Drosophila melanogaster: one gene and its partner. The protein of the gene in region 1 purifies or fractionates together with the protein of each later gene. This does not show direct contact. Each region holds a gene or a part of one and is shown on either strand. Other genes may lie near its edges.

The links.
Region 2: the proteins of pdm3 (region 1) and Rab8 purify together in Drosophila melanogaster (affinity purification with mass spectrometry, with the first as the bait; one large-scale study listed by BioGRID). This does not show direct contact.

The regions. Positions count from the first base shown.
Region 1 is NT_033778.4:8,320,403-8,333,046, forward strand, and holds the start of pdm3 (pou domain motif 3), read left to right. Parts: upstream 1-7,087; 5' UTR 7,088-7,605; intron 7,606-12,644.
Region 2 is NT_037436.4:19,869,235-19,881,878, reverse strand, and holds the start of Rab8 (Rab8), read left to right. Parts: upstream 1-10,800; 5' UTR 10,801-11,374; coding exon 11,375-11,498; intron 11,499-12,320; exon of another isoform or gene 12,321-12,352; coding exon of another isoform or gene 12,353-12,371; intron 12,372-12,450; coding exon 12,451-12,511; intron 12,512-12,571; coding exon 12,572-12,644. Other genes in the region: Usp32 (ubiquitin specific protease 32), read right to left, coding at 812-1,090, 1,154-1,621, 1,683-1,868, 1,925-2,112, 2,177-2,343, 2,400-3,046, 4,249-4,556, 4,613-4,915 and 6 more.

The DNA of each region.
Region 1 (12,644 bases):
CTCCAAATCTAGTGCTATCTTTGCACAAGTATGAAATTTACTTATCTTCTGTCTTATTACAAATCATAGTTAAGATATACAATCTGGTTAGTTTTGTGCAAATAAAAACAACTCATTAAGAACCCTGATTAACTTTTCCTCTCAGCTCATGTCCACATTCACATATTCTTGGTGAACCCAATGGGGGTTGCCAATGCTTTTTAAGATCCGAAGGGATTGGGCGGCTGCTACCGCCCTAATCCTTGAAGCCATAAAAATCCGACTCATCTGCGGCAGCGACTGCTTCATATGCTGGCCAACTACTTGGCCAACTTGGCTAACTTGACCAGCAGCAACAACAAGAATAACTACGGCAACAACAGCAGCAACGAGAACAGCAGGCAAAACAGGCCGCGATTTTAATCGACTTTAATCAAAGAAATTTCATATGTGACCACGCCCACATGCAATTATGTTTAAGAATGCAAAACGATTTCGCCAAAGGAGGCGGCGAGGGGAAGTGGAAGCGAGAAAATTAAAACTGGCAAAAATAAATAAAAAAGATGATGATGTAGAGGAGGACGAGCAGGAGCTGGAGCAGGGGCGGGAGCAGAGGAGCTTCAGCGAAAGGCTACAAGGCAGAAAACATAAATTTAACAGCAAAAAGAAATATTATTATGAATGCATTAACCACCCGAGCAGAAGAAGAAGCAGCTTCAGCAGCAGCATCAGCTAAGCGAGGCTGCCTAATTATAAAGTCGTGAGTGTGGGGAACAGGAACAGGTTACCTCCGATCCGATCCTATCCGATGCGATCCGCTCCGATCCCAAGCTTTGCCAGGTTGAGCCGATCTGGCTCGCCCATGAATGAATGCGGAATGAATGGCCCAGACCCGTTCCGAATGGCCGAAAAATAAAAGAAATGCTGGCGAAGACCTGGCAAAAGATAGAAGGCTGCCAAAGGTTATGCAAAACGCCAAATGTGCTCGCGACTAATCATTAAAATTATACCCATCTATAGGCAGAGTCACATAAATCTTTTATTGATTTATGCTGGCGGGAAATGCACTTTTAATTGGCTGCGTTCCGATCCACTCTCATAATTAGAGCTAATTTTAATGCCGGCAGAGAGGCATTCGCGTTCCCATAAATCACCCAAAAAGGAAGTGAGTCATAAAAGTGGGCTGGCTCCAGGGTTGCCACCACCAGCTTGACTGCAGCACTGCGTCGTCTAGACTCTAGACCCCAGAGTTGACAAAGCCCAAAGAGCAGCCACCGGTTCAGAGAGCCTCGTAGGCCTCGTAAAGCCCGCTCTATGAGTGTGCCGAAGGTGGTGCGTTCAATTAAAAAATACTTTACGATATTACAAAATTACCACGTACCAGGGTGGTGCTGGCTTTGGTGGATCTCTGAGGCGTCGTTCTGGAAGAATGGGCGGTGCAAGGGCATTGGAGTCTGCCTCCTCGCGAAAGGCTGAGGCTCAGGTCCAGGCTTCAGAGCCACGTCCTCCAAGGGGACGCATGCGCATAATTCGAATGGCATTAAGTACGCCACTTGAGGCACAAGCTGCGCGAGGCAACTCTGTGCACAGTGGGATGAAGCGTTTGGATTTCTGAAGCCAAATTGATAACATAGAATTACTTTTGGAATGTTATCGAATTTTGTAGGTTCATATGCAAAATATAAACAAATCCGAAGAATTTTTAAAATGCTGCCTAAGTCAGTTACAGTTTATTGCTAAAAGATATTTAAAAAATACCAATGGATCCCACATTCATACTTCCTGTATATTTAAATTTTAAAATAAATTAAAAAATAAAGATTAGTTCTTGGCCTTATATAACCCCCATGATAGACTATGATCCAACCCACTGTGGCATCGGCAGGCTTCCGTGTAGCCTTTGGGTTCTTTTTAATGCAGTTGCTGTTACAGTTGGCCGTATTGATGCTGTTGTTTCGATTATTGTGTCTGGGCAGCAACAGCAATGGTTAAAGTAAGGTAGAATGCTATAATAAAAATTCAATAATATTAAATTTTTATGCGCGCGAAATTATTGCAGACGACGCATAGTTTGTGGACATGTTTGGCAAGGAATGCTGTAGGGAATGGGGATAATGGAAGCAGGGATGTGGGACCGGTGGACGAAGGGGCAGGCGGAAGGCTTCAGGTTTAAGTACAATAACAATTAGCATTCGTACGGTTGGAGCCGGAGTCCATTCATTTGTCAGTTAGCACCTTCCGCATTCGCACACCAATCTGCGCTTCTCCCTCTCCCTCTCACTCACTCTCTCTCTCTCTTTCTCTTGTGTGATAGTCCCGTCCTTCTCTCTGTTATGACAGCTGGAGTCTTTGTTTGGTGCCTGTAAATTGCCGCCTTCACAGAGAAAAACTATAAAAATCTTTAGCATAAACAACATACTGAAATGTAATTATTTTAGAATATACATTGTATGAAGCCAAATGCCAAAGTCTTAAATATAACTTCCGTGGAATCGTTACACATTTCCAACGATTCTGCACCCTTTCAACAATTACATAGAAGAATATCAAATTATAAAATCATAAAATTATAAAAGATCGCCTTTTAAATGATTTTTAAATAAAGTTTAATAAAATTAATGTATTTTTCCTGTACATTTTTCACATTCTCCGCTCTCAGTGGCTTGTGATTAAACTTCAACTTATTTGGTGCTCCCGAAGAAACCGGTCGGGGTGTCTTGGCCAAGACCAAGAGCTGCTGCCGTCTTTTTCTTGATGCCAAGGCCCCCAATCCCCTAACCCCTCATTCCCCACCCCATTCCCGTTGGCTAAGCGAATGAATTATGTTATTTGAAATTAGTTTGTGCCTGGCTTTCAAAACTCCTCCAAGTCCAGCTACACATGCACACATACACGACTCCAATCCCACAATCTGAGCGCTGGCAGCGCCTGCGGAGTAATCAGGTTAATTTTAATATGTTTTGTATGCACCGACCCCTTCGAGTCCCCGCCGCAATCCTATAGCTTCATGGGCATGACGACGCCGTCGCCGGTTAATGGAAAAATATCTCAAATGATGCTGGCCAGGATGCCTTTTGTAATTAGCAGCCATTTCAACGAGAGCCATCCAACAAAGCTAAAAAGTTGGCGCGCTCTTAATTACTCTCCCCTCTCTGTCATTGCATCTTTCATCTCTGTCTCTGGCCGCAAAATCTATCTATATATGCTATTTAATCTTATTTCTGAGGATAAATACATATATAAATATCACCAGAAGTTATTAATGCTTAATAAAGAATATTTAAATGGGATAGTAATATTTTTGTTTCTGCAAAAGAATGGATTTAGGGTATCTCTGATCCGGTGTCGGGGGCGATCCTTTAGCTCCAAGTCTTTATGGCTTGTCTAGGCGATAATTTTAATGTTGTTTGGTTTATACACGTTCGAGTATTTCACTTCATTTTTCTTGCACCGCCGAGCGGTGCTGACAAGTTTCGGAACGTTGCTGAAAATCTGGACACAGTTTGCCCCTCGGCACTACGACCATATATTTGACGCAGTCGGGGACGGGAGATTTGCATTTAATTACGGGCGGTCTGCGGAAGAGGGGGAGGGGCAATAGAGTACGCCCGAAAGCCAAGTTTAGATCAAGCCAAGACGCTGGTCCGCGTGTGTGTTCCAAGGCAAACGGACTGGCAAATGATAATTACAGAAAGCATGTAAGCGCCTGAGAGAGAAAGAGAGAGGGGGGCTTACCAGAAAGGGATGGGGAGAGGCGAGCGAAAGAGAGAGGTAGACGGACAATGTGCTAGAAAACGTTAATTTCAAATTTATGTAGAGCGTCTAGTTTCTGGCCCGTCTAAGCTGATGACTTTGAGTTACCACCACGCTCCGGCAGCAACCTCCTTTTCTACACAGCAAATATATCCTTAATATCATATATCATTATATCTATAAAGGTGTATAAAAGTATATTTTCCTATAATATCAGAGTGCTATTCAATTTCTAATTTGCTAAAAGCATTTATACGTGCCTGTTATTTAGAAGTCAACTATAATGGACAGTAGTGTTTTTTAGAGTAGAAGGTAGCATTCAATTTTTTCATGTGCATACGACCCCCCCGGCCCCCTTTAAACCCCTTTTGGGGCATCTCGTCCTGCTGGGGAAGAAGTTTCCCAAGATGCCCGCAGGGCGCGTGCTGAATTTAATCAGTTTGCCGGCCAGACCGACGAGCTGCAATGACAATCAAGCCAAGATGGAAAGTGGGCAGTGGCCCCACTGCATCCGCATCCGCATCCTCGGCCGCAGTGCCACCCCACCCACTGCCCACCGCCCACTTTTCGCCACCCATTTCCCTCACGGGTGAAGTAAATTAGACGACAAGTCGACAGTGCAACATTTAACGGTAATATGCTTTATAGCTGCCGGTAAAATGCAGCACCAAATTAGACGGGAAAGACAAAGACGGGGCGAGGGAGTGAGAGAGAGAGAGAGAGAGTCAGGGTCGAAGCGAGCGGGGTCCGAGTGAAAATTCTGAAAATTAAGTTGATGAGGAGATGTGGACCAGGCCTAGACACCGGGTAACAAAACAGTGAAGTGCCCGTCGAAGTGGAAGCATCAAGCGGCACTTAAATATTGACCAAAATTGGCTACTAAAAACAAAATCAGCCAGCAAAACATTTTTAAGATGTGCGAATTGGGAATACTCTTCGGGAATATAGCTACCACTAATTGAGTTTATATGTAATGTAATAAGCATTAGTATTACATCAGAAACCAGCATAGCTATACGTTTAAAATTGGTAAAAAAAAGAGGGTATTCTCCAGTTAAATGTATGACTGATCTCGTTCGGATCGAGTTGATCTTCGTACTCTACCCTTTTGATCATGAGCATGATATTCGCATCGGAATCTGGGCAATCGCCGAACAGCCGAACAGGCCTAAGTGCATACCCTAGCAAATCACATTAGGAGGGGCAACAACAAAATCATCAAATGGCGTAGGCAGTTGCAGTCAGATTCTGCTTTTGGGGGAGGCTGGCCGGGACTTTGGGGCCTTGGGGGGTTTTCAAGGGGCTTTCAGCCAGACGACGACTCTACGACTACGACGTCATCGACACCTCCGATAGTCGTCGAAGCGGGTGGGTGGCTAGACTGGTGGACAGACGGCGACGGAATCGGCAGGGGCAGCCCGTTTGGCAGCCTCGACTGACCGACAGCCTCGACCGGTTGTAGACCGCACCGGTCGGTCGCTGCTGCATCTTCTGCCCCCTGGAGGGGTGGGAAGGGGGGCGGACTGCGGCGGGGGCTTGTCTAGTGACTTGACTGTAACCTCATTGACCAGAAAAATGCAAGCGGCAACGGCAACAAGCGCAGACAACAAAACATCAAATGTGAATTAGTGCAAAGGTAGCCAAGGAGCAAGGATACACCTAAAAAATTTATGATTGTTAGTGTTGATAAAAAGAAAATATATGTACACGTAATTATTACAGTGTATTATATGGAGAATAAAAGGTATAGTAACCTACGTGCAATCAATAATATCAGTAGTATCCAATTTATAAATTAATAAAATAAAAATAAAATATATTAGTTACTAATTTAACTAATGTGAAAATTTAAAATTTAATTTTATGAAATTAATGTTTTTGTAATTTGGATCTAATTATCACGTTCTTTTTATGTTACCCAAAGTGAGAACCGCCTTTCTTATAAATTGAATTGAAATTTGGTAAAGTTTTTGCCAGTGGAGATGAAAGAGTGCCGAAGAAGGAGCAGAAGACGTGGCAGAGAGGGATGGCAGAGAATTGGGTGGAAGAGTGGGAGGAAGAGTGGGCAGAACAAGGCAAAACGTTTCCATATTTATTGGCACTTTTCGGTTTTCTGGAAGCGGTTCGAGCCGTTGCAAAAGGGGCGGAGGGGTGTGGTTCACTAGACCCGGCACACGTCACATTGTGGGTGGGTGGGAGTTGGAGGACGGTGGACGGAGGGCTGGAGTGGTAGCAAGAGGGTTCTGGGCTTCGAGTGGGGTTTTGACCGACGAGCTGAGTGACTGGAGCTTTTGGCATTGGCTCTGCTCTGCGGATCGAGACCTAAATTATTAATTCCCAGCAATAGTTGTCGAGGGGTCGAGCTGGGGTGAAATTTCGGGGCATTTGACAAGTCGTCTTGTGATGCATATCACAGGTTTGGTTTATCCAACAATTTCCTCTGAAGCTTAAAATAAATTCTAAGTTGTTGTGTGTTGAGAGAGGTTGTGGCATTTATTAAGAAAATCATAATTAAGTTTCTAAATTGGTACGATAAAATGAAAAATAAAAATAAATTTTATTGATTTTTAAATTGCGGTGACTTCCTACTTTTCCATTATAATTAAGCATTGTTAATTTGTACAAGTGGATTTAAAATTATGTCAAACAGTTTAAAGATTTTGAATATTATTTTGCAAATCTCCAAAGATATGTATGTAGAATCTAAATGCGCTCCCACCGTTCGGTGTAAAAAGTGCAATGTTTAGCTGTAATAAATGCTCAAAATGCGCTCACAAAAGCGCTCACCCACACTCGCGCCCTCTCCCTCGCGCGACCGCTCTCCTTCTCTTTCTATCTCTGCCTCGCCGTCGTTAAGTGCTCGCCTTTCGTCAAGTGTGCAACTTCTCCTTCTCAGAACAACAGTTATAAGCTCAGTCTGCGCCGGCAGCGCTGTCGACGTCGACTGCAGCAGCAGCGCCGCTCATTTGTGCGCTTAATGACGTCATTATTTTTATTTTAACAGTGCCAAGCAAATTGCATATATACCGTTGCTGCTCCTGCGCAGTCGGCGCTCTGCCGGCGTCGCTGCACCGCCAGTGGGGCTTGGGCTAGGGGGTGGGCGAGAGAGCGACAGAGAGAGAGCCAGAGCGAGAGAGAACGAGAGGCAGTGAGTGAGAGAGACCCCGGTCGCTTTCTCGCTCGCACCCGCTGAGCTGGGCCTGCGGCTTCGGGTTCCTCGCCTTCGTTTTGTTTGCTCGTGTTTGCCGATGTTGTTGCTGCTGTTGTTGCTGCTGCTCCTTTGCTGTTGCTACTTATGCTGATGATTGCGATTGCTGGGGGTCCAAAGCGCCGCTCGTGCGCCACACGTTCATTCAGTCGACGGACGACGCTGCGCCTGAACGTACGACGGCTGATCTGAACCGGAATCGCATTGAACGGCCACATATATCTTGGACGCCCCTCGACTCGTGCAACAAACAAACAACCAAAGTGCAACATACAATACCCAAGCAAATAAACTTCGGCGTGTGCCCACGATTCATCTTTAACAGCTGCCACTGCAACTTTTGAGCCCCATGTGTTTTGTACAGCCGTTGCTCCGCGATTTTTGAATCCGTTTCGAAACTACTCAGTTCCGAATTTTTGGCGCGTTGCGATCGTCTCATCTGAAGTGCGTGGGTGATAACCATCTGTCAGATACTCGTTGCTACACTCATAGGTACTCATGAATACTTTGAATACAGTGCTCAATTGTGATAAGAGTTAAGAAATTACACATCAAAACCAAACGACCATTAAAAGGTGAATGAAAAACAGGATTCAGGAAAAGCTAGTGGAACATAAAAACTCTTTCGTTGATTTTGGCAACAGCTTGCGAATCTGTAAATAACGGTAAATATCTCAAAGTACTTGATTTAAGCTCTTGTGAATTTATATTATATGTTTTGAAGAAGTATATCATGCAATTGACTATCATCAGTTTAAAATCTTTTATGGGAACCAAATTTTAGAGGTATTAAAGTAATTATAAATGGTCTTCCCAATAGTCTGAAACAGTTTTTTTCACATATATATATATTCACATGTATATAATTGATTTACTAAAATTAATTGTAATATCATAATAAAAGTAATTTTAAAACTTTTATATATATTTCTGATTTGATAAAATTTCCATACGCCAAATTTTTACGTGTGTCAGTGGTTGGACATTTTAGCGGATGAATTTCGGAAATATTTAAATAAATCTCAAAATTTCCGGCTTATTACAAAGCTTAAAAAATCTGCATGGCTGAACGTTATGGCAGCTACTCAACCCAAAATGGTAAGCTAAATAATGGGGCTGCAATAAAAAAAGACATTTAAGTGAAGTGCTCATCATCATTATCAAGTTAGAAATATCAAACCTTTTTAGCCTCTCACGCACTCCACTCACTCGAATATTGCTCGAAACAGCCAAATGCAGTTTTTATGTAAATCTCAACCCTGACATGGTAGTATGCAAAAACCAATAAATTGATGCGATTTCGCTGCAGGCGGTTAATAACTTTAATTAACGTTAATTTTATCAACATCAGCATTATCGTTGGACCGGCATGAGCATGGGGGCATGTGCATGAGCAAACTTGGCGAGGGTCTCAAAAATAGTTGCGACGTTCTAATAATAAAACCAAATATAATAAATAGCCACAAACAAACTAATAATACGGCTCGACGGCAGTGGACAGTGGCAATTTGCAACAATGAGGCTCATCAAACGATCGCTAAAACGAAATCAGAATGAAACTCTACACATAAATAGTTTAATGTGCTGAGCCTTGCGACTGCTGCCACCCCACGAAAAATTACTAAAACGTATTACAATTGACTTGCCGGTGGCTCAGTGTCATTTTTGCAAAAAATAATCTAAACGTATCTATGAGATACAATAAACAGCAGCAGCGGCGCACAATTCGCACTAACAACAGCGCCAGCGGGCGTAACAACAATTGTAATAATCAGTTTCATTTCAAAGCCGCACCAACCTGCGCTACATTTTTCCCACTGTCCAAGCTCTGCTTGGATTCCCCTCCCCTCAGCTCCACTTTGGATCCCTGCTGCCGCCGCCGTTTCCACCGATTCAACCGATCCCAGCGATCCCGCAGATCCCACCGCCCTTCCCTCATCGGCATCCGAGTAGAAAACGTATCTATGCAGTGCATTGTTAGCGTGGCCCGCTCATTTAATTAAATATAATTAGCTGCATTAATTGCAAATTAATACAGAATTTAGCCTCTTTGTTGCCTGCTCCATTGTCGTTGCCAAGCAGAGTTAGCTATTGCCATTGCCCTGCTCCCAACTACACATTACACACGCCTCGTTATCGTTGGCAATTATTTAGCGAGAATTAACTGGGCTCGCAGTTGCACTGGCCCCCACAGATGCATTGGCCAAACTCTGGAATGACATTCAGCGGGTGCATACTGTGGCCCAATGAGCTGGTATTTATCTTTAAGGTTTCCACGTACTTGAGCGCAGGTTTCAATGCACAAATTACATTAGATATCTTCACGCATGATTTTGAAGATCTTGTAAAGTTCATATCATACATTTTTCCATTATGCACTGTATTGTTTGTTGAAATTTGGTTTATTAAGTAACTTATGTTACATAAATTGATAGCTTCAAATCCCTATCGAATTATGCAACAACCAACTCTGACTTTTATAATAAAGTAAAGTACTGTTGCAGTTAAATGGTTTCTATAAACATTTCGGTTCTTTAATTATAAACAAATCTTCAAGTATTAAAGCTAAGACCAGTGTTTAGAAATCGTGATATCTATGAGTTAAATGCAAGTGCTCAGAAAAAGCCGTCGGCATTTTATAGGCTGCGATCCGACAAATGCCTTTGATTCCACTTCAAATTGTAATCTTCTACTTACGATGAATGTTAGTTACTTAATATTTACGATTTCGGCTTCCTTTGATTGCGAAAGTGAAATATCTCATTAAATTGACTGAAGGATTTTTACTATTCGAAGTGGCAGTCTCGGCAAATTAGAAAAACCCATTAGTGGCCAAATGCATCGCGACAGCTTTTAATGCACATATAGCTGTGAAAAAGAAAATCAACGACGACGGAAAATGATTAGATATTAAATTAAAAATTAAATGTTGCTGCAGTGGATGTTTCTTTTTTATGACAAACGGATGACGAACGCATAAAAATGCAGCGGCACCAGAAGCGGGAAAACAACAAACCGACTGCGGACAAATCAACAAGGAGGCGACCACCACACACCACACACACTCATTAAAAACAACCAAAAGCCAGCGGAGAATTGCAATTTCCCCCGTAACCCCGCAAACAAAAAAAAAAAAACAAAAACTAGAAAAGATACACATATCCAACCATCGCGTCACGTTGTCACTTTACGTAGGCAAATCGTAAAAATGAATGAAAGAAAATCCGCAAAGCAAAACGCTTAATTATGTGCCGTGCATTTTGGACAGCTGCCGCGGCCACGCCTCCGGTGGGCGGCCTTTTAATTAAGCATAATTAAAGTAATAATTATGCCCCGCAAAGGCATTGAAGTTGGCCAAATGAGGCGAGTTCGGGGCGGGCCGGGCATCTTGAAAGGATTTCACTTCTGTTTTTGATGTGTGGCCAATTTGCAAACTTGCGCACACATAAAATGAGATTTTATTGCCCTAAAACAGGCAGGGTGGCAAAAATGCAGGAAGTGCGTTTCTCCGACTGCCATTGCAATCGAAAATGCATTGCACAACCGACCATAATTGTAGATTTTGTATTTGTATATGTTCACACATGAACACGAATATATTTAAAGACTTACAATTTTGGGCTCCGTTCATATCTTATGTAAATGAATCGAGAGCGATAAATTATATTTAGGATTTTGTTATCTAAGGCGACATGGGTGCATTGCTCAAAAACATGTAATTTAAGTGCACACTACATGAGTCAGTCACTTGAGATCGTTCCCCGCCTCCTAAAATAGTCCCTTAGTGGGAGACCACAGATAAGGTCCTCGCCGCTCAAGATAGGCAGATGTGCCCGAGCGTGGGACCTCGATAAGGCGGGGACTATTTACTTAGGCCTCTGCGTAGGCCATTTACTTTAAGATGCGATTCTCATGTCACCTATTTAAACCGAAGATATTTCCAAATAAAATCAGTTTCTTACAAAAACTCAACGAGTAAAGTCTTCTTATTTGGGATTTTACAGTATATAACGCATGACTATTTATGAAAGTATTTTGTATGTTATGCTATCGATTTAAGTACATTAGAATTTTCATTTAGATACTAGTAGATCTTCTTCAGTTTCATAAATACTATTGTTATTATTATTATTATCATTGCTTTTGATTATTATCATTGTTTGCACTAAATATGTGGGACAAAGATCGCATTCCCGAGTGCCGCGTGCTTACACTATCCCCAATTATTTCGCTTAACATCGCTTCTCTGAGCGATTCCATTTGGAGACGATCTGGCGAGGATTGGCTCACTTTTCGCCGACCCACCAAAATAAGATGTTGCATGCCGCGCATGCCACAGAGCCTACACAAAAGCGAAAGACACGCACACACGCCGCTCATTTAATAATGAACAATAATGAAGAGTAATAATAATCATCAGCAAAACGTGCAGGAGAGTGTCCAAGTGGCTCCGTACTTATATGAGCACATTTCTCGTATAGACCCTCGTATATGGAGGCAACGAAATTTTATCAACGAACGCGCATCATTTCAATTAAGAAAATGTCACAAGTGTCCAAGCAGCAACTGCGCCAGCAGCCTAAAACACGCCAAATGCGGCAAGTCGGGGGATCTCCGCACTTTCATTTCGCCATTTCGGAGTCCCTCAAATCCCCTCCCGTCACCAACAGAAATCGTCTATATAGTCGAATGGCCCCGCTTAATGGCTTATTTTTTGGAGCATTTCTTGTAATTAATGCGAATTGTCACACGCTAGAACTGAAGTAATGTCAACTGCCTTCGATTCGCCTTCTAATTCATTACATTTATCGTTTGTTGCCCGTTTCCTATTCTTAATTAGCAATTAAACAATTTATGCTTTTGCGTGAACAATGAGGAGCTAAGTGAAACAGGCCGAATTTTCGTAGTCCGAAAACATGAAACACTATAATTAATTCTATTCCATAAGCTATTTTGCTCAATTAGCCATTAAAAACACTACTTTACCGCATTGCCATTGCGTGTATCGCAGTATGGAAATGGAATGCCGAGGAACTAAACTCGGAAATTCGGGGTTGTTCTGCGGATTCAATCATGCTTGATGGATGGATTGTCAAAGATGCCAGATAAACGATAGCTGTAATGCGACTCTGTCGTGTTTGGGTAATTATGCCGATAGACAAATTCGAGTTTCGAGTCGAAGCATAATTGATTCTAAGGGCTAGAAAAATAATATTATTCCAATTCTAGCGTTTTCTTGCTTATCAATTGGAGTTAGTTTCTTTTGATTTCCTTTGAATATCCTAAGATACATTAACATCTTGTTCATTGTTTTTTTTTTTATCCCAACCTATGGATAATATTAAAATTGAGCCCTATTGTAGTTTCAGATAGATTTATCACCAAGCATGGCACAGTCAACCACTCATTCCTCTTTGCAGATCAGGAATTTCGGTCTAAGTTTCAGCTAATTTAATGTTTCGTTTCAGTGTTTTTCGTTAACTTATTGTTAATTAAATGCAATTAAAAAATTTCTTTCCAACTGTCCGTCCGCACGGCCCTCTGGGCATTTGAGCAGTCAGATCGCACTTAATGAGACGCGACACAGTTGCACAGATGTTCCACAAAACGAGATAATTGCGCAATTAGCTCGACGGAGTGAGGAGTGCGGCGAGGCAGGGTGACGAGGGAAGGGGCATGCCACATGTTGCACGGAGCCGCTGTA
Region 2 (12,644 bases), on another chromosome or scaffold:
ATAGCTTTTCGTTTCGAATATATCATCATGTTCATGTATGTTAATATAAATTAGTTAAGTTCCGCATGTATATATATATATATATATATATATATATATATCTGTGGGTGTATATATATAATTTGTAAATATCAAATACATAATCATTAGACATATTGAAGTCATAATTGATAAGCGCAATACTAATTTCGAACCGAATCTGCTCGGCGCGTCACACAAGCCAATCAATACATGTAAATACGTATGAGTAGAGCAACAATAGTCTGCGAGTTTTTGGATGAAATTCGTAACATCTTGATATTGCTGATCAATCAATGGATAATATCAAACTGTCCATAACGTTTAGCCGTTCGTGTTTCACTTCCGCTTGTTATTTACATTAATAATTACAAATTAAATGGAATTCCACGACATGGTCTGGCATAAATAATAATAAACTGGCCAAGCTGGCCTAATACAATTAAAATGTTTAAATTATATACAACAAAAACAAAGCAACAAGAAACTATTGAGAATGGATTTGTTCGGCGTAACAACCTAAGCTCCACATTGGCCAACCAATATAACATATCATCTACAAGCTAAATATGAATATTGTATATTACATGCATTACACAATTCTCGGCAAAGAAAAATAATTCGTCCTAAAACTAATTAGGGGATAATTAATCAACTATTGCAGAAAATCAAAATAGGCTTAGAATAGTAAATAACAAAATATAAGCGGTTCGAAACAAAACACAAACCCTCTAGAACAGAACGCATAAAATGGAAAAATATATCTTCATAGCCGCGATGTCCACGACATCAGTTAGGAAATTGAGCACAGCTTCTTCAGCTCTCCCTCGGTCTCGTCCACCTCGAGTGGCACACTGGCGGTATTGGGCAGCGTCCGTCCCTCGATGTTCGGTAGGTAAGGCTCGTAGTCCAGGCCCTTGCGTTCGTAGAACAGCAGATATGCAGCACTTGGATCGATGACCGGCTTCTGGGATATTTCGCGGCAGGAGCTGTCGTTATAGCAGTACCAGGAACCAGTTGCATTCGAAGCATAGGAAATGTAGTGACCTCCGTTCAGCATGCCCGAGTGAGACTACAAAACAAGATATAAGGTTATCACACAATCAGGAGGATTAAAGGCATAGGCTACACCCACCACAACAGCATAGAGTCGGTATCTGGGATCGAACTGATCCACATCTGGTTTAAGTCGGTGTTGGTGATAGTCTTCGAACTCGCCATCAACGATAGGCGTTTTTGTGAGACTCGTAGAGATGAGGCGTTGTCGCCGGACAGCATTTTTGGTCTTGCTCTGGCGCAGAATATTCCCTGTGGGCGGTGGCGACGCCGTAGCCTTTGTGGACCCCGTTTGATTGGGTAGTTCTTCCTTAACCTCCTTACTGGGTGCATCAATCTCGTCCAATTCGCTAACAACTTCGTTAGTTGCCATCGTCATTTCTGCATCATTCTTTAGCTCCAGCAGCTCCTTGTGCCGCAGTATCGTCTCCTGAGGGACTGAGGCCAGATACGGAGTAGGATCGAAGTCATCGAAAGGAAAGTGGACCACTTTCTGTGACTTCACCCATTTGCCGTTGACGCAGTTAAACCGCTTCAAGTGAACAATCTGAGGAATAGAAATTATCAATAAAATTTCACTAGGCAATTGGCCATTAGGCCTGGCTTACCAATATCGGAGGTAGCTTCCAGATCTGGAGCTTCTTGGTGGCGGGTTTTTTGCCCTTGCAATGACTGCAGTGATACCACTGCTCCAGTTTCTCCTCCGAGGTGAAGGCGCGCAGGCAATGATTCAGGTCTACGGGCTCCACTTGCTCCCGCCGACTTATGGCAATGGTCTCGTGATCCACCCACAGCTAAACAATTACAAATATAAGTATCCCGTGGACAAAATAATGCCGAGTCTACATACACGCTCCAAGGTGCTTTGGTAGCGCAAGTGCAGGGCGGTCGGATCCCAGTCGATGGCAATGGTGAAGTCTTCAAAGTATTTGGTTGTCGGTGTGTACGACAAGGAGGCGGTATATTCCGGCGTCCGTTTAGCCTCCAGATTTGGTAGCGATGGGAATTTAGCATTCATTTTTGGCGTTGATGTATTACCTGAAAGTGAAAGTAGAATGTTTATTTCTAGCAACGGCAAGCGGATTTTAAGGTCTCTACGCACTGGCGGCGGCATTGATGGGCGGCAGGGCTCCCTGGAGTACATAATCATTGTTGCATCGAATCTCGCATCCGCGACAGAAGCTTGACCAAGGGCAAATAGCGCAGGTTAGACCATCTGCCTTGACGGCACGCAACGTGAAGGGGAAATCGTAGCCCAGGCTGTCATCACTGCGTATATACACAAGATCAGTAAACAAAAGCAGCAAGCAAGTGGAAATACTCACCAATCGGCGGCATGATTCGCCTGTTCCGTGGTGGCAGGCAATGGGCTGAGTAGCCTGCTCACCTGCAGCCACACGGCGCAGTAAAGATCCTTGTGGGTGCCACCCTCGCTGTTTGGAATGAGCAGCGGAACGCCAAAGAGACTTGGTCTCGTCTTGTGGTAGGACAGGAAGTAGCTGTCATGCCGCGTTATCTTTCGATGTACGGCTACCAAATACTTGCCCGCCTTGTGCGGCGGCTGGGAGGAGCGACGAGAGTAGACCCCGCTACTGGTCTCCGGCTGCGAGGTTGTGATCTGATCCGGCTGATCGTGATCCTCCGCGTTGCCCTCTTCCGCCTGCTCGTCCACGTCCAAACTGGCGCCCAGGGTGTGGCCCGTGCTGAGGCCACTGGAATCGTTTGGCGACGTCCGGTAGGAGCAGTCCTCGCCGCCACTGCCATTACGGCTGCTAACCGGCTCCAGGTCCGCCAATGGAATGGGTTCGGTCAGCGAGCTCTCCATGGAATTTTCGCCGGAATGATTCGTGTAGGACATGGAGCTGGTATTACTCTCCGTGTGCAGCAGCTTGGCGGACGATACGCGCTTCTGTTGGGCGGCAGCGCCGTGCATAAATGTGTTCTCCGGGCTGGAGCTCAGAATTAGCGACTCCTGCACCGAGAGTTGGTATTAGACTTAAGTTGTGCTGATACGGGGTTAGTTATTAAAGGGACTAGGTGGGTGTAGTCGTGAATTGAAGCTTTGGGAGCTATATTAACCATGGAACAATCTACTTTCAAATTTACAAAATAGCTATAGGGTAAACGCTAAAACTCTAAAACAACTTTAAAATGTATAAATTGTTTATGGCACGTGTTTTAATTAACTTGTTGGTTCTTTTTAGTTGTTTAGTGAGGGCGGTGGAGTGTAAAACAGTAGCTATTTAATTAAATTGTTTTAGGTTTCATACAAGTCTCGAAAGATAACCTGTTTTTTTTTTACTCAAATTTTAAATATAACGGAAAATTACATCAAAGACATTTAAGATATGGGAATTGAAAATAGTTTTAAGATTAAATTGACGAAAATTTTAAAATCTTCGAAGAAATTTTATAATTTGAATACATAAAGATAGATCTTTTTATCCAAAAATACATTAAAATACATCTAACAAACAAGCTAAGACAATGTATTTCTTTTCGGATACTCAAAACTTTCTAAAAACGAACACAATATATGGATATATGGCATCGCAAAGCTATGAGAGTGACCAAAAACTACTAGAAAAATAATATTTCACAAGCTTCCAACTTGAAAACCAGCAACAACAAAGAGATTTCCAAGGATAGCCGAGAGGTGATACGCAGTGTTTGATTGGGTTTAAGCAAATAATTTACATTAGTTATAGAATAAGGCCAGCAACAAAGTAAGTGATTAGTAGAAGGAAGGATGTATATATTACAAATAATTGATATCAATTTGGTAAAAGTGTGCGAATACGAAAGTAGGGAGAATATACAGAGTATGCTAGTACATTTGAGTAAATAAGAGGGAAGCCCACAAACCACGCAGCAAACGGCAACTGTTCATTTAACATAGTGTATTTAATATATTTAGATTAAACGCTTGTAAAGTGACAATCGAGAAGCAGACGGAGGCGGATTCTTGGCGGATCTCGCATTCGCAATCAAAGACGACCCGACGATATATCATACGAGAGTAGCAGCAGTTTCGCCGCTGAGGAGCAAGCTCGCTATCCTAGGCAAGGAAAGTTCTGAAGCTCTGAATTTTAGAATTCGATATGGCCCCAAATAGATGGGGCGTAAATCTATGATATTAAATACGTATATGTTAATATAGTTTAGAAGCCATACCTTGAAGCAAAATAGGCTGTGGGGCATGCACTCTCTCTTTCCAAAGCACCGGCTTACCTTTCCGGCCTCATCTGGCAGCAGTTCGTGCACCTGGTTGTCCCCGCTTCCGTTTCCGCTGTAAGTGCTTACAATAGGATTGTAATTGCTGTTGCTGTTACATTGCGACACATCCGTGCCCACCTCCGCCTCGCCTTCGACATCCAGGCCCGAAACGTGTCCGTTGCACAGGACTCGTGACGAGGCGCGGTGGCTGGACGTCTGCAAAGTGCTCAGCGAGGACAGCGAGTCCTGGGCGCTCGTGATGAGAGCTGAAAGTTCAAAAGTGTAGAAACACATTCATCTGCTATATCATTGGGTGGCTTACCGGAACTGCGCTGTATGTCCTTAAGACCCTGCTCGATGTGCATGCTAAGCCCTGAGTTGGATCGTGTTCGCATACTTTGTTCCGGCAGCTGATAGACGTACAGCTCCTTGGCACTCTGCGTCCGCAGTTTCTCGTCGTCGTTTAGCACCTGGCGTATTTGTGAGTTCCATAGCTCGCAGACGAGCATTAGATTTGGAGGCAGGGAGCACATGGTGGACAACTTGTGTTTCAGGTGCGAGTACTTGCAATCGGAGTTCAGACGAAAACCATATTTGATTGGAACGCTTCCATCCAACAGAATAACTACAAAAAAGAAAAGTATTAATAAGTACAATAATAAACATAGAAGTATTGGGTTCAACTACGATTTACTCACCCAAGACCTCAAAGTAGATATAATTCTCTACCGGAAGCGGCAAACTGAGCAGACTAAACGGATCGAATCGCACCGATTCGTGTCCACAACCCAGACAGCTGACCTTGGATTTCAACTGGCCGTAGAACAGATCAATGATAATTGACTGGTTTCGGGCGTGGTGCTGGGACCAGGCCTCGGCGGCCACTATTTTGTCTGGGCGCCCATTCGAGTCCTTCAGCTCGCTGTACGGTTTCTCCATCACACGGTTAAGGTCCTCATGCAGAGCGTCCAACAGCCACTCGAGCAGCTCCTGGGAATCGTGCTGACCTCCACCGGCGAACTGCGGCGCATACTTGTTGACACAAAAGCGTAGCTTCAGCGGGGCCACAGATCTAGTCGTGGCCGTCCAAACCTCCTTGAGCAGCTCCGCATAGCGCATGGCTAGCTGACCCTTTGTGCCCAGTTTGTTGGCCGCGTTCACCTCGAAGCGATGCATCTCACGCTGAAAGTATTGTGCCAGTGGTTGGGTATTAAACAGCACCTGGAGAGCGGCGTTCATGAAGCAGGTGTTGCCCAGGTTGTGCAGGCCTGTAGCTCCGGGCGCATGTACCGACATAATTGAACTGCGTGTTAAGCGACGCCGGTCCCCCGGTGTTCCCGCACCCTGGCCACATTGAGCGGTGGCCAAGGAGCCAAGTTCCTCCGGCCAGGTCAAATCTTTGTTGCGGATTTCCAGCAACAGCTGGTCGTTGTCCCGAATGAGCAACTCTTTCAGGCACATGGCATCCTCTTCTAGCAATATGGCACCGTTGTCCAGCTGTGGAACGTGCCATAGCCGGATATCTTCTGACTTAAGACGCAGTTGCTCGCACAAAAACTCGCCCACCTGACGCACCGTGGCCAGTCGGCTGAAGGCAGCCGTGTAGGCCAAGTATCGCTTCGGCGGTTGGAGTACACTGCTTACAGCGATGGCGGCATATCCGCCACCGGAGGCAAGCACTCCGTAGCCACCGCTCACCGTGGAGCCCCAACTACCAAGTTGAGTGCCTCCGCCTACGCCTGTCTGGGATGGCTGCGCCTGGTGGAGCAGGATTCGCAGGTTCAGCGGGTATAGCTCCAGTTCCACATCGGAGTTGGGCGGTTGGATGACCTGGAGGAATACAAATTAAGTTCATAAGTAAACGTTTCTGATTATTAAATAGTTTTCTTTGCTTACCTGTCGTGGCAGTGGAAGATTATCGCCATACCATCGATTCAATGCCTTCCACAGTGACTTGGGCACCAGTTCAAAGTCGTGGTTCTGCACCAGGGGTGTGTCCCGCTTGAGGTGACCACCCTCGCCGGTGAGAGTTCGAACATTCCGGAACGGATTGGCGGTGATCAGATTGCTGTTGTCAATAGGCCCTGGTCGCACGGGTCCGCAATGTCGTCCAGCTGAGATGCCACTACTCGCCGACCCGGAACCGGAAGCCGATCCCGTGCCAGAACCCAGGGAGTAGCTATCGTGCTGTTCCAAGCTGTGGGTGTTAAAGCTCTCATCGCAGACGAGCGCCTCATCAACAGCGGTCCGCTGGCTGGCGGTTCGCTTGCAATAGTCGCAGGTGTGCGTCGTGTGCTGAGTGTATTGCATCCAACTGAGCCACCAGTCATGCGTGATCAAGTACCAAAACTGTCCAACGCGGTACGGCCTGCGCTCCTCCCGTCGCAACCATCCCCGGACGATATCGTTCTCCATGTGCTTGCACTGGGGCCACAGGCCAAAGACGATGTGGCACAGCTCGAAGATGAGGTCCAGCAAGGGCTGCATGAGTCTTAGATCACACTGTACGGTCCACAGCATAAAATCCTCAGCGGTCAGCGAGACATTGTCTCGGGTTAGCTTACTAGGCGTTCCATCCGGACTTCTTCTCTGTCCAAACTCCAGAAGATCACTTATCACCAGCTGTTTGGTCAGATCCTTGTATTGCTGGGACTCCTGATTTTCCTTGGCTACTAATAGCAGAACATTGATCATCTGCAGTGTTTCATCGTGGCTAAGAACGCCATCTCGATCCACATCGAAGATTTTGAAGCAAACTGTGGGTAGGCGTTTGTTACTCAATTGATCATAGCGGAATGATAAAAGTATTTAGTACTTACATCGTGTCCTTTCCACACCCGGTCCTCGGCAGGCGGCACTTACTCCGCAACACAGCTCCTTAAAGTCGATGTGTCCGTCGCGGTTCTCATCAAAGGCGTTGAATAGACCTGCTAGAGCATTCTTTGGTATGGGTGGACTGATCAGGGGTCCCAGGAACTGCAAGTCGATTTGGCCATTTTGGGAAGTGTTTTTCAAACGCCAAAACTCCTTTTCCAAATCGCCAATGTCCTGCAAAAGAATTGAACGGGGTTTCAGTATGAACTAGTCAAACGTAAGAACGCAAATGAGAGGCGATTGAGGTAAATTGAGTGGCGGATAACAAAACAGTTGAGGAACCAAGCGAAAATTATTTATAAATTGCATTTTCCACGAAATGATTCGCTCGCATATGTTTACAAAGCTCTATCAGCCTCAGCTGCAGATGCTCACCTTCTCCTCAAGATGCGTCACTCCAGCGAGGCTCTGGTAAAACGTTGGCGTCTCCAGCTCCGATGTGAGGCTAACACAGTTGTCGGACAGAAGCCATTTGGAGAGGACAGTGGCATTGCGATGCTTTATGATCCAGTCCTGGAACTGCTCGAAATTGACGCGTTCGCTTTGAGCGAATAGGGAGACGCTCTCGAAGGGAGCCAGATTGACGTTGCGCACATAGTCCGACTTGATGATGAAGGTGCCGGCATCGTTGCAGTACAGGTTCCACAGGAATCTAAAACGAAAGTAAGTAGTTGGGTTACCTAAAATCAATTCAGCCTTGCACATTATGGCACACTCACTTGGTTTTCTCCGCTTGGGTACCACGAGTTATCAAGACCAGACCGCAGAGCAGGTCGTTAAAGGAGATGCCACGCTGGGTGCCACCACAGGCGGCATATAACATGTCCACGATCTTTGGCGGCACTCCCTCGCACAGCACATCCTGCTGAAAGGCATTCCGACTGAGGAAGTTCCTGCCCACGCCCGCTGACTTTTTGAAGGCATCTCTCAGGCGGCGAAGCTCTACGTCGCTTACTGGAATAAAAAATCGGTGAATGAGTAATGCTGCGTTAGGGATTATCCCATGTGCCTTTAATTAATAGCCGGTATGCCGGGTAACCCCCTCATTTGATGCGATTTACGACCTCGATTTCACACTAACCGACGTGCTGTCAATAACAAACTGATTATTGGGAACACATGTTCCAGTATGGAAACCCAATTCAAATACATTCGCTCTAATTGTTTAATAATATACATTATAATAATATCAATAAACATTATTTCCGAGCTCATTTACCAATTCCATTACATATGGTATTAGATTCGTTGTTACCTAATTAACCATTATCAGTAATTGATTTTTCACTAATTACCTGAAGTGCAAAAAGGTTACCCACAAACCAATAGAAGGTAACATGAATATTATGTTCTTTAACGATAATTATTAATTATATTAATTATATTTTAGGACTGTTTTCATATGATCAACAAATAAAAAAAATTTAACTAATATTTCTTGCCCTAAAACGATAAATTATATATAAGTTAAAAAATGAAGAGGGTATCCCGAAGTCCGCCACACAAAGTTAATTTTATTTGTTTAATAATTGTGAATCATTTCCCGTGGAATCAAAGCAGCATAACATACGACAGTTTAAAATCGTTTAGCACTTAAGTCAGAAAATGATAAGAAACGAAACAAAATGTTCTTGTTAATATCGTTGCGCATTCTCAATAGTATGCTAATTCATGTTACTTCATCTTAAATGTACTACATGTTCCCTATTTAACCATTTTCATTCATGCCCCGTTCATAACGTTATAATTCATAACGTTGATTATTTAATGTCGGAAATAAAAGGCCACAAGAAGCGCAATTAAATTGACAATAAATAAACCATTTTAATTTCAACGATCAGGTTGAGAACCCAGAGCCAACTGATAACCGCCAAACCGGGCGTGAAAATACATTCCCAAGTTGATTGGGCAATATTGCAGGCGAATTATGCGACGTCACGGAAACGGCATTTTATTGAATGTTAACTGCAACTCGAGTCTGCGATTATTGACCACCGCGCACATACTTGCATGCTAGTCCTCACTTCCCCCTTGGTTTTACTGGAACCGGTTGGAGTGGCTAATAAGAAACACACGCACCCGGTCGCACGCCCCACACCAGTGATGGTGGGTGGTGGAGGGGTGGTCCGGAGTGCTGGTGTTCCGGGGGAGTGAGCCTTATCAGCGACACTCGTTTTCTTAACTCTGGCTGGGCCGCCTGGCCACAAATCAGCAACCATAACCATAACAACACCAGCATTTAGATGATTGCCAGCGCAAAGGGAAGGCGGAATAAAGTAAGTGAAAAGCACTAAGGGAAGCTAAACGTCATTGAAAGTGGGCCGAAAATGGGTATACAAGTTGGCTTAAATAATCTTAACTCTTCTGAATGATTACCAATTTTATTGCTGGTTCATTATTATAAAATATTTGGAGAAGAGTGAACATTCCGATTTTCATACTTTGTAAATAAATTTCTATTTTTTTGGCTTATCAGCTTGTTTTAAACACAGTAATTCCTTTTCCTATCTGAACATATTCCACTTAAAGAGGAATTTTAAGAAATAAGGAAATGACATGCAGAATTAAAAGCCCAATGAATTATTTATTTTAAAACATTTTTCTTATGGATATTCCAATTGGAAAATCGAAATCCAAAATGCTCCCCTTTCATTATAATTTCATTTCATTATAAACAAAAAAATTTTAAAGTAGGCTTCTTTATAAAATACTTCAACAGAAGACCTTTGCCCATAGAGTGCGAATTGAAATGAACACTGGAATGACATGCTGAACTTGAAATGAATCGTATTCGCAGCGACATCCGCATCCGCGCATTCCAGTCACCCTAAGCGTGAACTGCACTCCACTGGCTGTCTAACTGTTTCTCATGTGCCTTCGCTGCTTTGTTGTCTCTCACCCACACAGCGCACACCTCCAACTGCCACCCCATTCGGTTAGCTTTTCTATTGTGACGTCATTGGCGGCGGAGACGCAAATACCCATGCACATGAAAACACATGCAATAAAGAAGCCACACTGGAATGGCAGTAGATAATTGCAAGAGATAGGATTAAGAGGAGCATGAGGATGGTGGTGGCGGAAGTCAGTGGTGATTCCCGTTGGTCAGAAGACGTGGGCGCAACAACACAATGGAATCGATTGCACCTGCTTGTACGTTGTTGTTGCTTTCGCAGGGGGTTCTGTTTTCTTGATTGGCAGTGACCTATTTTCTGCGGCTGGGAGACGGCCCCACAAGTAACCAGCCGGAGGAGACTCACCGCGTTTCACCGAATCCTCGTAGCTGACGCTATTGGAGTGCTTGGACTCCTTGGTGCCCATGGTCCAGAATTTCTTGTTTGCGGGGGTGCAACTCAATGGATTCTGGGGCTCCGCCTGCTGCTGCGTCTGGCGACGCCACTTTTCACATTTGTTCAACTTCACTTCACAGTCGCGGGCGGAACAATAGGCTGCTGGCGAGGATCAGGTGCAGGATCACGACGATATATGTGTATGAATATATAATATACACCTGTCTTTTTGACTCTTGTCTTGTGCTATTTTCCTCTGTTTCTTTCTATATTCGCGCACTTTCCAACACTAACTGGAAACAGCTGTTTTCCCCATCGTACGATAAGCTATCGATAGACGACGGCGCGCCAGTGTTGCGCAGCAACGAATTATCGAAACTCATATTTTTTGTACGGGCGTAATTAGAAAGCAGTAATTAACTTCATTTCCACGTAATTTTCACAACAAACCAACGTAGACTCGCACCGCGTAGCGAGCGCCTTTGCATTTGCCCACCGGAAAAGCCGCCGCACGAAATCCGAAACTCGGGCACAGACAACAAAAAGGTCTTAAATCTACGTCGCCATTTTTGACACGGCTCCGAAATCGAAAACACAACACACACACCCAAGAGAAAAAGAGCTGCGCTGCGGAGAGAAGGAAAAAACTATACGTTTTCGATTCGAGTCGATTCAATTAGATTGTGGATTAGTGCGGTTACGTCTGGGTATAGTGTATATGTACATACATACGCTAAACGGCACGCATGGGGCATAATCGTGATTAGTGTTATTAGCCAAGAATCGGAGAGGAAGTCAGTCAGTTGATTAAGGAGACGACGACGTGTACAGAGCATCATCACCCTTAACCCGTACCCTAACCCCCAGCTAAGCACTATTATCGGGCCAGATACTGTGATCCTACCGCAAAAGCACACAAAATGGCCAAAACCTACGACTATCTGTTCAAACTGCTCCTGATCGGTGACTCCGGAGTGGGCAAGACCTGCATCCTCTTCCGATTCTCTGAGGACGCCTTCAACACAACGTTTATATCCACAATAGGTGAGTGTCATCATCCGCGTTTACCGTGTCTTCCGATTCTTAATTTTTTTTTTTTTTTGGTTATTAATTATAACACCTTCGTTCGCATGAACTCATTCGCAATTGGAAATCCGAGCTTCTGGCCCAGTGACTCATTAAATGCCTCTTTTCTTTTTTATTTCCTGCCCCATCCGGGCGCATTTGTCATAAATATTGTTGTTTCCATGGGAGGGGCACTCCCACCATGTTTGATTTCTCGCGCTTATTAAGATTTTCCCGTAAGGAATATATCCGGATGCCTTATCTCGCCCTGAGATTCACACCCGCATAGGAAAGCGATCAGAAATGAGTACTCAGTCCGAGTACCCATAGTCTTTGTACTTTCGCTGCTCTTATCGCCCCAGAAGCCGGATTGTTCCGATGCGAGACTTGACCGTCGCACGCCAAATCGGGAATGCCCTATTATATACCCAGCAGGCCCATGCCCAGTCTCAGAGGGAATTCAAGTAGTTGTTCCCGTACGAGTACAGTGAAGCCTTTCTACCAAACACAGCAAATACTTTTTAATAAATTCGAATCATAATCAGTACAACTTCAAGTGGCAGTTAAATCAGATTATGCTAGTAATTTTAAGCTTATTAAAATAATAATCACAATAATATTCGACATGCACACTGTACTTTCCCGTACTTGTAAACACAAAAGTAGAGCGATTCCCATTTCTGCTCGTGGCTAATAATTGTTTATTTTCGTTTTTGGCACGTTTTCATCGCGACACTTCCAATTTTGGGGCATTTACTTAACGACATTGTTTAAATTAATTGCGTGGTTTGTGGATTTCGGTTCTCTTCGTCTCTTATTTTAGCTGCGATGTCATGGGTTCCGACCAAACAGGTTTAGCCTCTTGCCAAATTATTTAAATTAATTAGCAAACGTACATGTGTGTATATGCTCATCTGTTTTCTCTTTTCAGGTATCGATTTTAAAATTAGAACAATTGAATTAGATAACAAGAAGATTAAGCTGCAGATATGGTAAGTACTAGGCGATTCATCTGTATTCTCTAATTACCTATATCTCCATTCATTTTCCAGGGACACTGCCGGCCAGGAGCGTTTTCGCACAATCACCACGGCCTATTACAGAGGTGCCATGGGCATCATGCTG